Arabidopsis thaliana: one gene and its partner. The protein of the gene in region 1 interacts with the protein of each later gene in a pairwise test. Each region holds a gene or a part of one and is shown on either strand. Other genes may lie near its edges. The genes, in order: AT2G04620 and AT3G12100.

Region 1 (5,244 bases):
AATTTAATTTTGACTAGCTATGTAAGATCTTATATTCACTTCAGAATATGAGTATTACTTATCATCAAATAACTCATATATTTTCTCAGCCTTTGAAAAAACACTCGATTCATAATAGTTCTTAAATTGTTTTTCAAAATACTGTGTCTACAGGACAACAATACTTGCGTAAAAGTTTAAGCGTTTGTTTTACCATCTCCGCATCAGAGATATTCTCTTAACAATGTGAGTTATATTCACAAAGAGACTTCAAGTCTTGAAGTTTTAGTAATAACTAATTATAACTTGCTTCTAATAACACATTCATATAAGAGTTGCTTTATACAACTTTTAGATCTTTAGTAGTCAAAGATTGAACATAATCTTCTGGATATGTCACGTATTATCCATTTATTACTTCTCCTCCTCGAGATGATGAAACTTCAAGTTCATCCATCTCGTATTGAATTCCACTCTAGAATCATAATGTATTTTATATCTCATCATATTAACTTTAAAATTTGGAGAACTATACCGCATCGATGATTTTAATTTTGTATTCCCATAGAAAACAATGTATATGCTCTTCTAGAGTCTTTTAATAAGATTTTATACTACTTGATATACTAGATTATTTCATCGTTAAAAGTTAGAAATTTTACTTATTTTTTACTATATTTATTTTCTCAACTTCTGGTGATAATTTAAGTTCTTGAAAAAACTTTGACCATTAAAATTATGATATCTTCTTAAGATACATTAAACTAGTCATTCATGAAAATTTCTATAAGTGATTATACCTTTAAATTAAGTTATTTATAAATCAATTTATTTCATAAAATAATCAAGTATTATATACCAATACAATTTTAATGCAATATTGTAAAACCAATCAGAATAAAACTATTTTGTGCAAAATCTGGATTTTACATATATCTTGACAAAACTTTTATTTAGGATAATATGAATTTGTGCAAAATTTGGGTAAAATGATTTCGTGCAAAATTAGGGCAAAACCATGAACAGTTTTTTTTCTCTTTTAAAAAATTAATACAAATCTTTTAAACAAATTTTTCGTGCAAATTTAGGGTAAACAATATTCATAATCAACTCTATTAACGTAAAACTAATAATGCATCAACTATGAAATTTTAATTTTCAAAGAAGTATTAATCTTCAAAATCCTTTTCAATTAAATATTCTCAACAAGCAAAAAAAAATGGAGAGAACATCAACGAAGTTCGCTTTTGTTGCCTTCTTTGTTGTTACATTCGGTAAAATTTTATTTCATGTGTGAATAAAATTAAAAATCTCTACATGCAAATTTTATGTTTATAACAACAAGTTAGTTTGGTTTTGTAGTGATGTGCATCGTAACTACACGAAATGTTGAAGCAAAACGTGTATTATCCGAAGAAATGCCACAAATTGCTTTGCATCATGAAGCTTTGCAGCAAAATGCGAATCGATGGGGTCTTGGGTGCAAAAAAGGATGTCATTTGATATGTTATGCTCCTGATCCAACTTTTCCTATATGTCGTTGTATATGCTAGTTTTTATACATCCCCTCGTTTAATTTAGTCAAATAAATAAGATATGTTTTCATTAATAAAAAAAAATATTTATACAACCACATGAATTAAATTGGATTTGATAATAAACATATGGGGATTTCTAGCCTTCAAGCAGCAAAAATCTATATAGTTGAACCGGCATCGTTTCAAATTTATAAATCGGTGAAAATTTTATTAAGTTCAGAAACTTATTTTAGGTTCAGTTTAAAAAAGCGTTAGATGGTAAGCAGGACGGTGATTTAGCGCCTAAAACGTTTAATCATAGTCTAAACGATTTTAGATGGTTTAAGCGTTTACAACATAAGACATTATAAATATAAAATTTTAAATAAAAAAATATATAAAAGTATCTGCTAAAAAAATAAAAATATTAAATAGTAAACAAAAATTAGACAAAAATATATTTAATTAATTCATATTAAACAATATATATTAAGATAAAACTTATTAGTTAAATTTTGGAGTTGGAAATTAAAAAAATATATTGAAAAGAAATTTATATGAATTTAGGCGGACAAAACGATTATATAGATGTCATAATATAGATGGGATTTAGACGACCGCCTAGACCACTTTAGTAACCGCTTTTGCAAAATTGATTTTTGATTTAAGAATATTACTCGGTTCCGGTTTAATTCGGTTAAACCAACAAATTTGGAATTCAAAGTAAACAGCTCACAAAATCACAAAAATCATGTCTTGACGAAAATTTCCTCCGGCGACTCATCGGGAAAAATCTCAAAAGCTTCCGCATCAACAACAATGGTGGATCATCATCATCATCATCATCATCAACATCGACCTAATCGTCTTTCAGTACCACAACCAACAATCGGAAGAACATACCCATCATTCCCTTACACTCCAACTCCAACCCCTTCCAAAACCCGTCTCTCTTCTTCTTCTTCCTACAGATCGATCCATGGAAGCAAATCATCACTTTCATTTCTCTTTCTCATTCTCTTCTCTCTTAGATCTCTTTACTCTCTCTTACCTTTCCTTCGTTCTTCACCTTCTTTCTCTCTTTTCCCTTTCTCCTTCCTCGTCTCTCTTCTCTCTTTCCTCTTCTCACTTTCTTTCACTATCATCTCTTCCTTTTCACCTTCAAAGAAAGACCCTTTTCTTCTCCGTCTTCAAAATCGTTCCTTTTCCTCAATTTCATCTCTTTCTTCCTCTCAAATCAAACTCTTACTCGCTAAATCATTCCTTCTTGCTTTCGTCTTTCTTCTCCGTTTTCAAGCTCTTCGTTACTGTGGTGCTGCTGCTATGATCTTAGCTGAACTCTCTGGCACAGTTTCAGCCAGAGTCTTGTTTAGTGATACTGGTGGAATTGGAGTTAGATCATCTAAGGTTCGTGGGTTTTGCGTTTTGTTTGCTGGGTTGTTGTTGTTATCAATCAGCTGGGATCGTGTTGATTGTTTCCCGTTTTCATCATCTGTTGAAAGTTGGGGTTTTTGGATTTACCCTAAAGAGAATTGCTTGAGGATTTGGCCTCTGTTGCTTCCGTTTCTATCTGGTTTCTTAGGTTGTTATGAGAAAGTTTCTGTGAATTGGAATGAGATCAAACAGTTAGATCAGAAACGAGTTCGATTACTGTCTTTGTTTCTAACCACTGTGTTGTTGTTCCCACTTGCTATTTGGAGTTTCTTCTTCTCTGGTAGTGGTGATGATAGTGTCTCTTTTGGGAATTTAGGTTGGCCTTTAGCTAACACTGTTGTATTTGGAGTGTTGTTGAGTGAGAATTATAATGATGATAAGTTTTCAAGCTCGAAGAAGAAGGACTCAGAGAGGGAGTTTCTTGTAACGTTTCTATGTACTATAGTATTGGAACTCTTCTATTTTCCTGAGCTATCTCTTTGGGGATTGTTGCTTTGTGGTTTGTTGCTTTACATTGCTGTTAGAGAGTTGGAGTCTGTGTATTCAGATTATCAAGAGATTGGTATGGAATCGCCTGAGTCGTTTTCCACTATGTTTATGAAGCCTATCCGTCACATTTTGAGCGAGAAGAAATCGAGGAAGATTGCGTTGTTTCTTTTGATTAATACGGCGTATATGGTGGTTGAGTTTGTGGCTGGTTTTATGAGTAACAGTCTTGGATTGATCTCAGACGCTTGTCATATGTTGTTTGATTGTGCTGCTTTGGCAATTGGGCTGTATGCGTCTTATATCTCTCGTCTTCCTGCAAACCATCAGTATAACTATGGCCGAGGTAGATTTGAAGTGCTTTCTGGTTATGTTAACGCGGTGTTCCTTGTTCTTGTTGGGGCTCTGATTGTGCTTGAGTCGATTGAGAGAATCTTGGATCCTCAGGAGATTTCTACAAATAGTCTTTTGGTTGTTTCGGTTGGTGGGCTTCTCGTGAATATCGTCGGGTTAATCTTTTTCCACGAGGAACATCATCATGCTCATGGTGGATCTGGTTGCACACATTCTCACTCACACCAATCCCATAGCCATAAAAATGAGGAGCATCATCAGCATTCAGATAGCCATAAACATGAGGAACATCATCAGCATTCAGATAGCCATAAACATGAGGAACATCATGAGCATGACCATCATCATCATTCCCATAGCCATAAACACGAGGAGTGCAACCACAACCACGACCATGAGCATCAATCCCATAGCCATAATCACGAGGAGTGCAACCACAACCACGACCATCATTCTGATCACCAACCTGAAAAAAGCGAAAAGAAGGAGCATCGCCACATTGATCACAATATGGAAGGAATCTTTCTTCATGTTTTAGCAGACACAATGGGGAGTGTTGGAGTTGTGATATCGACACTCTTGATTAAATACAAGGGCTGGTTAGTTGCAGATCCAGCCAGCTCAATCTTTATCTCCATCCTCATCATCGCTTCAGTCATTCCGTTGCTACGAAACTCTGCGGAGATTCTACTGCAAAGAGTCCCTAGGGCTCACAGGCAAGACCTGAAAGAAGCTATGAGGAACATACTTAAGACTAAAGGTGTTTGCAGTATCCAGAGGCTGCATGTATGGAGTTTCACCAACTCAGACGTCGTGGCTACTCTCCATCTCCTTGTATCTGCAGATTCAGACAAGACGGATACTAAGTTACAAGTGTCACGTTTGTTAGAAGATGCAGGAGTAAAGGATTGGACATTGCAGGTGGAATCTGTTAACTCATAGCAATTGACATGGAAGACACATTAATTGTGCTTCTTGATCATTACTATCTTAGAGACTGAAACAAAATTTTCAGTTTTGTGTTATGAAAAGGAACTTATTATAAAGTTGTATGATTTACAAAACAATACATTTCTTAAACAGAGAATCCAAAATAGAAATACATTATTGATATTGACATTACATCGGTGTTATCCCCCGATGATATCCCAACCTACAAGTCAGGTTCCCTTAGTGAAAGTAAAAAAAACCAACAAAAACTAACTAATTATCTCATTTATATATTCAAAACACTCACCATGAGACCTTCTTTCACTGCCAACTCTCTAGCCATGTTTACAGAATCCTCACTACTAACCTGTTTAGCTCGCACGTATTCTCAAAAGTCAAAACATAAGCTTTTAAGTTAATAGAATATTATGAAAAAAATGGAAGGTCTAGTAGCCTTATACATTACCTCAACAACTTTGTCCATAACATCCATATCCAAAATATCCGGTTTAAATCCAACCCCATTGCCCGTGATCTCATGTGG
Region 2 (5,302 bases), on another chromosome or scaffold:
GAGCACAATGTTTCCATACAGATCCTTCCTGATATCCACATCACACTTCATGATGGAATTGTAAGTGGTCTCGTGAATACCAGCAGCTTCCATTCCCACCAAAGACGGTTGGAACAGAACCTCCGGGCAGCGGAATCTCTCTCCTCCAATGGTGATCACCTGTCCATCAGGCAACTCATAGCTCTTCTCAACGGATGAGCTTGTGTTTGCTGTTTCCATCTCTTGCTCGTAGTCAAGTGCTATGTAAGCAAGTTTCTCTTTCACATCCCTTACGATTTCACGCTCTGCTGAGGTAGTGAATGAGTAACCACGCTCGGTTAAGATCTTCATGAGGTAATCAGTAAGGTCACGGCCTGCAAGGTCCAAACGCAGAATAGCATGTGGAAGAGCATATCCTTCATAAATTGGAACAGTGTGACTCACACCATCTCCAGAGTCCAACACAATACCTGGAAACACACAAGACAATGGACAATGGTACCACATCAACAAAGCCAAGAAAGGGTACTTTCTTAATCTGAAGCTAAGAAGAACTTGGAAGTTTGTTCAATGCAATGGGTAGTAGTGATTAAAAAAATGGTGTAGGTGTTGAAGATCTTATTACCAGTAGTACGACCACTAGCGTAGAGGGAAAGAACAGCTTGGATAGCGACATACATGGCAGGAGTGTTGAAAGTTTCAAACATAATCTGAGTCATTTTCTCACGATTGGCCTTGGGGTTGAGAGGAGCCTCAGTGAGAAGAACAGGGTGTTCTTCAGGTGCAACACGGAGCTCATTGTAGAAAGTGTGATGCCAAATCTTCTCCATATCATCCCAGTTGCTAACAATACCATGCTCAATAGGATATTTCAATGTCAAAATACCTCTCTTAGACTGAGCCTCATCACCAACGTAAGCATCTTTTTGTCCCATACCAACCATGACACCAGTGTGTCGAGGACGACCAACGATGCTAGGGAATACAGCTCTTGGTGCATCATCTCCAGCAAATCCAGCCTAAGGAATTGGAAACACATATGAATGAACCAGACAAAACAGCATTGTATCCAAAAATAATAAAAGAAAAAGTTATCAGATTTATATCCACAAAGGTCATGTAAAGATGTACCTTAACCATTCCGGTTCCATTGTCACAGACGAGAGGCTGAATGTCTTCACCATCTGCCATTTTCTATATCCTGTCAAAATTGATATAAAAAATATTAGCATAATTGAACCCTTTATTTTGCAAGAAACAGAGGAATCTTAAGATCTACCAAAGAGAATTAAATTGAAAAAGCTTCATAAACGCATACTAATGAAGAATCAATGACGATGGAACGTTATGGAAATGTGATTACCTTAGAAGTTAGAGAGGGGATCTCTGAGGAAACGAGGAGGGTGGTGGTGTGGTACGGGTGTGTAGTTTTTGAGAGAGAAACGGAGCGAATGAAGAAGAGAATGTGAGCCGGAGAATTGAAGTTTAAAAAAGGAAGGAATAGGCCCGTAATAAATATTGATGGAGAAGATCTCAGCCGTTGATTTCTGAATATCACTTTGAACGAAGGAGGACCCCACGACCAGTCACGTTGTTGGTGGAAACAGCTGTCTTATTTAGCTTTCTAAAGAGAGTAACTGACATTTAATTATTTATTTATTACTAATTAAATCATTTCGAAAATTTGGTAACGTAACTGTAAATCTTCTCTCTCTCTTTTACTCTGTAAAGTAATTTAATGGGCTGGATAAAGTTCCTTAATGGGGACATCTACCTATAACAACCATATTTAATGGGCTGTATAATGTTTGTTGCATTTCATATATACATACACACTAACCAACCCTTTTTAACAATTGTTTTTTTCTTGTGCGGTCAATGCTTCTTGACTCTTTTGTATTCTATGGGCTTCTAAAATTATATATGGGCTTAGAACAGTGGCCCATTGACTTTACTGTATAAGCAGAGTTTCTTTGTACGACTGACTGTTGATTTTAGTATTTGCCGAAGTTGGAACTTTAAGATCAAAGAAGAAAATGGAGAGATCCATTTCCTTTAATCCTCGAGGCGATAACGAGCTCCCTGATGATCGGAGCAGCGATGTCGGATATGCTGCTAATGATCGGAGGCTTGCTTATTCTCGCTCGTTTCAGCAATCTCACGGTCCACGAACGCCGGCGGTCACGGAAGCGGCTAAGCCTTTTCTCGATAGGACGGTCTCGAGCATCGATATGCCGCCGGATATTTACTCCGTTGATGGAAGTGATGTGTTTTTCGGGGAAGGGAAAGATGTAGACATGGCAAAAGTGTCTGTTTTGGAAATGGTTTGGGAGGTTTTTGGAGTAGTGACAAGTGGAAATCGGCAGATGAAGAGACTGTTTCTGCTAATTGCGCTTAATGTGTTGTATTCTACAACAGAGCTCTCTATTGGTATCTTCACTGGTCGTGTAGGTACGATTTGGTTTCAGTTCTCTTTTTGTTTTAGGATTGAATCTCTGAATTGTTGATATTCTTTCTTTGAATTGTTTTGTGGACTCTTACAGGTTTGGTCTCTGATGCATTCCATTTGACATTTGGTTGTGGTCTCTTGACATTTTCTTTATTTGCAATGGCAACTTCAAGGAAGAAGCCTGATCATGCTTACTCATACGGGTGAGTTACAAGTAATTTGATTGGCTCAGTTGGTTAATCCATTTTATGATCTATTTTTCTCCCGAGACTGTAATGTGATTATGCTCAAGTGGTTGTAATTTAGGCATCCTTGTCTTCTCTTTTTTTTGGGTTCCCAGGTACAAAAGACTTGAAGTTTTATCTGCTTTCACTAATGCTGTAAGTATGTTCTTAACGTGTTTTGGATGTCATTTCCAGCTTTAGTGTAGATGGCTTGACTCAGTGTTAAAACTCTTTCCTTTACTGTTGCTGATAGAATAGAGTATTTTACAGCTCGTTAAAAAGATTTGGACTTCCATACAATCTATCTTTTCGTTTTGCCTTTCATTGTCTCTGTAGTTTATCTTTTTGGTTAATACTTTGATTTGTTTAATATTTGACATATGTGTAGACAGCTGTTCCTTATGTTCATGTCATTCTCCTTAGCTGTGGAAGCTCTTCATGCATTTATACAAGATGAATCAGAGCATAAGTAAGTTGATATTTTCACAAATGACATGCCTAGGAGTTTCTATATATATCTCTAGCACTTACTAAGTTTACAGTACTTGTTCCCTCTTGTTCCTTTCAGTAGTGTGATTTACTGAGATTTCCTTTATGTAGGCATTATTTGATTGTATCAGCGGTAACAAATCTGCTGGTGAACCTACTAGGTGTTTGGTTTTTCCGGAATTATGCTCGTGTCAATATTGGTATGTTTTTCTCTGCATTTTAAGTTCTGTTTAGACTTGTATGAATTGATGCTCATACGCTGCTTTATATTTTGATATAGCCTTTGTTGGTGGCTTTGGTATTCATTTGTAGAAATTGGCCACCCTTGTCAGTTTTCGCTTTAAAGCCAAAGAAGTAAGGGTGTTTGGTTAAGATAGAATCAGTACGAAGATTAGTTGAAAGAGAGAGTCAGCATAATTGTAACTGATCTGTCAAACGACTATTCGTTGCTTCTTGAAATTATCTGTCCCTTCTTTACATATCTAAAAACCACATGTTATCTTGAATTTTTTTCTTATATTCATAATATGCAATATGCTGCAGCCTACAGAAAAGCAGAAGATATGAATTATCACTCCGTTTGCTTGCACGTCATATCAGATTCCATCCGCAGGTGTTAATCCTCTCTGCCTTTATAAATTTCAAGCAGAATCGGAGAAAGCTATATAGAAAAGAAAATGCTTCCTTTTGCATCAAACTTATATACAGTCAACATGAAGTTTTCTTTGCTGCTGTCTTTTCAGTGCAGGTTTGATACTGGCATCTTGGCTCCTCTCGCTCGGGTAATACTCGCTTTCTTTGAAGGAGCTAAATGAATAAAAGTGTCTTCTTGCTTGACTACATTTTCCTTTTGCTCCTTATGCCTTGGCTTTTTCAGGGTTGAAAATGCAGAGGTCCTATGTTTAGGATTGGTATCGGTCACAGTGTTTATGCTTGTTATGCCACTCTTCAAAGCCACTGGTGGTGTCTTGCTTCAGATGGCACCCCCAAACATTCCTTCTTCTGCTTTAAGCAAATGCTTGCGACAGGTTCGCTCATAAATCGTTCCTCGAATGTGTACATATTTCCCATTGTTGATCAAACCAGGCTTCTCTTCAGCTCTCTCTCTCTGTACAGATTACTTCTCGAGAAGATGTAACGGAGGTTTTACAGGCACGTTTCTGGGAGGTTGTGCCTGGTCACACTGTTGGCTCACTCAGACTCCAGGTACTCACTTTTCTCCTTTTTTTTATATCGGTTAAAACATGAGCTCACACTAGAAATGGAAATGACTGGGTTTGTTATTTTGTTTATCGGCGTTAGGTGAAGAGCGGAATAGATGAAAGACCATTACTGCAATATGTATATGATGTATACCATGATTTGGGTGTACAAGACTTGACCCTGCAAACTGATTACACCTAAGCTGCATCTGCCTCTTCTTTGTTTTTAAATGCTGATTTGAAGATTTTTGGATGTATACTAGAGATCATGGTTCTTTAGGAATATAAATATTGTGAATTTTCAAGTTGTGACTTTGTGATATTGTTTTGTTTGTTTTTCATTTATGTGAATTTTCAACCACACAAAGACCACAAACCTTTGTATCTTCAAGCTTGTGGATATTTTGGCTCATAATGATTGGCGAATTAAAACATATATCATTTGCTAAATGTGAAAGTAAACACACAAAAATTCAATATGAGCTGAGACAAGATTTTAGCATTCCTTCTCGTTTATTTATACGATAAAAAAGGAAGTGGGGGAATCGGAGATCACATCAAGCTATATCTTAAAAACCTAATATTCCGAGGAATGGGCCACTAAAAGCATCTTAGAAAGAAAATTCATCGATTACGAAATCATCTCCCGTCCATGTCTATATATTATTCTTTGCTTACTCCTATGCTTCATTGAACATAGCACATTTATTTTATTCCACTTGTGATCATCCATTATATAAACCATGATTGCAGTTTTTGGACTAAAAGCTAGAAAAAGTTGTATTCTTTATGGTGTAATGTCTTAAGAACATATTTTAATGAAGGCACTACTTGATTTCTCTTGGTTGTGGTCTGCTCTGTACCAACTCCAACGACAAAAACGTATAATATAGAATAATAAACAAGAAACAATTGTTCAAAAAGACACTTTTATTTGAAAATTATACGGTTTTAATGTT

Evidence for each region.
Region 2: the proteins of AT2G04620 (region 1) and AT3G12100 come close enough for resonance energy transfer, tested with the Arabidopsis thaliana proteins (one study listed by BioGRID).

What each region holds. Positions count from the first base shown.
Region 1 is NC_003071.7:1,609,974-1,615,217, reverse strand, and holds AT2G04620 (zinc transporter-like protein), read left to right. Parts: upstream 1-2,257; 5' UTR 2,258-2,315; coding exon 2,316-4,712; downstream 4,713-5,244. Other genes in the region: AT2G04622 (uncharacterized protein), read left to right, coding at 1,199-1,253, 1,342-1,532; AT2G04621 (uncharacterized protein), read right to left, coding at 4,071-4,236, 4,519-4,556. UniProt on the Arabidopsis thaliana protein: Involved in sequestration of excess metal in the cytoplasm into vacuoles to maintain metal homeostasis.
Region 2 is NC_003074.8:3,853,984-3,859,285, reverse strand, and holds AT3G12100 (Cation efflux family protein), read left to right. Parts: upstream 1-1,966; 5' UTR 1,967-2,015; coding exon 2,016-2,430; intron 2,431-2,522; coding exon 2,523-2,631; intron 2,632-2,768; coding exon 2,769-2,808; intron 2,809-3,044; coding exon 3,045-3,121; intron 3,122-3,252; coding exon 3,253-3,341; intron 3,342-3,684; coding exon 3,685-3,754; coding exon of another isoform or gene 3,755-3,761; exon of another isoform or gene 3,762-3,806; intron 3,807-3,884; coding exon 3,885-3,923; intron 3,924-4,018; coding exon 4,019-4,169; intron 4,170-4,257; coding exon 4,258-4,347; intron 4,348-4,443; coding exon 4,444-4,545; 3' UTR 4,546-4,799; downstream 4,800-5,302. Other genes in the region: ACT11 (actin-11), read right to left, coding at 1-449, 605-998, 1,111-1,170. UniProt on the Arabidopsis thaliana protein: Involved in sequestration of excess metal in the cytoplasm into vacuoles to maintain metal homeostasis.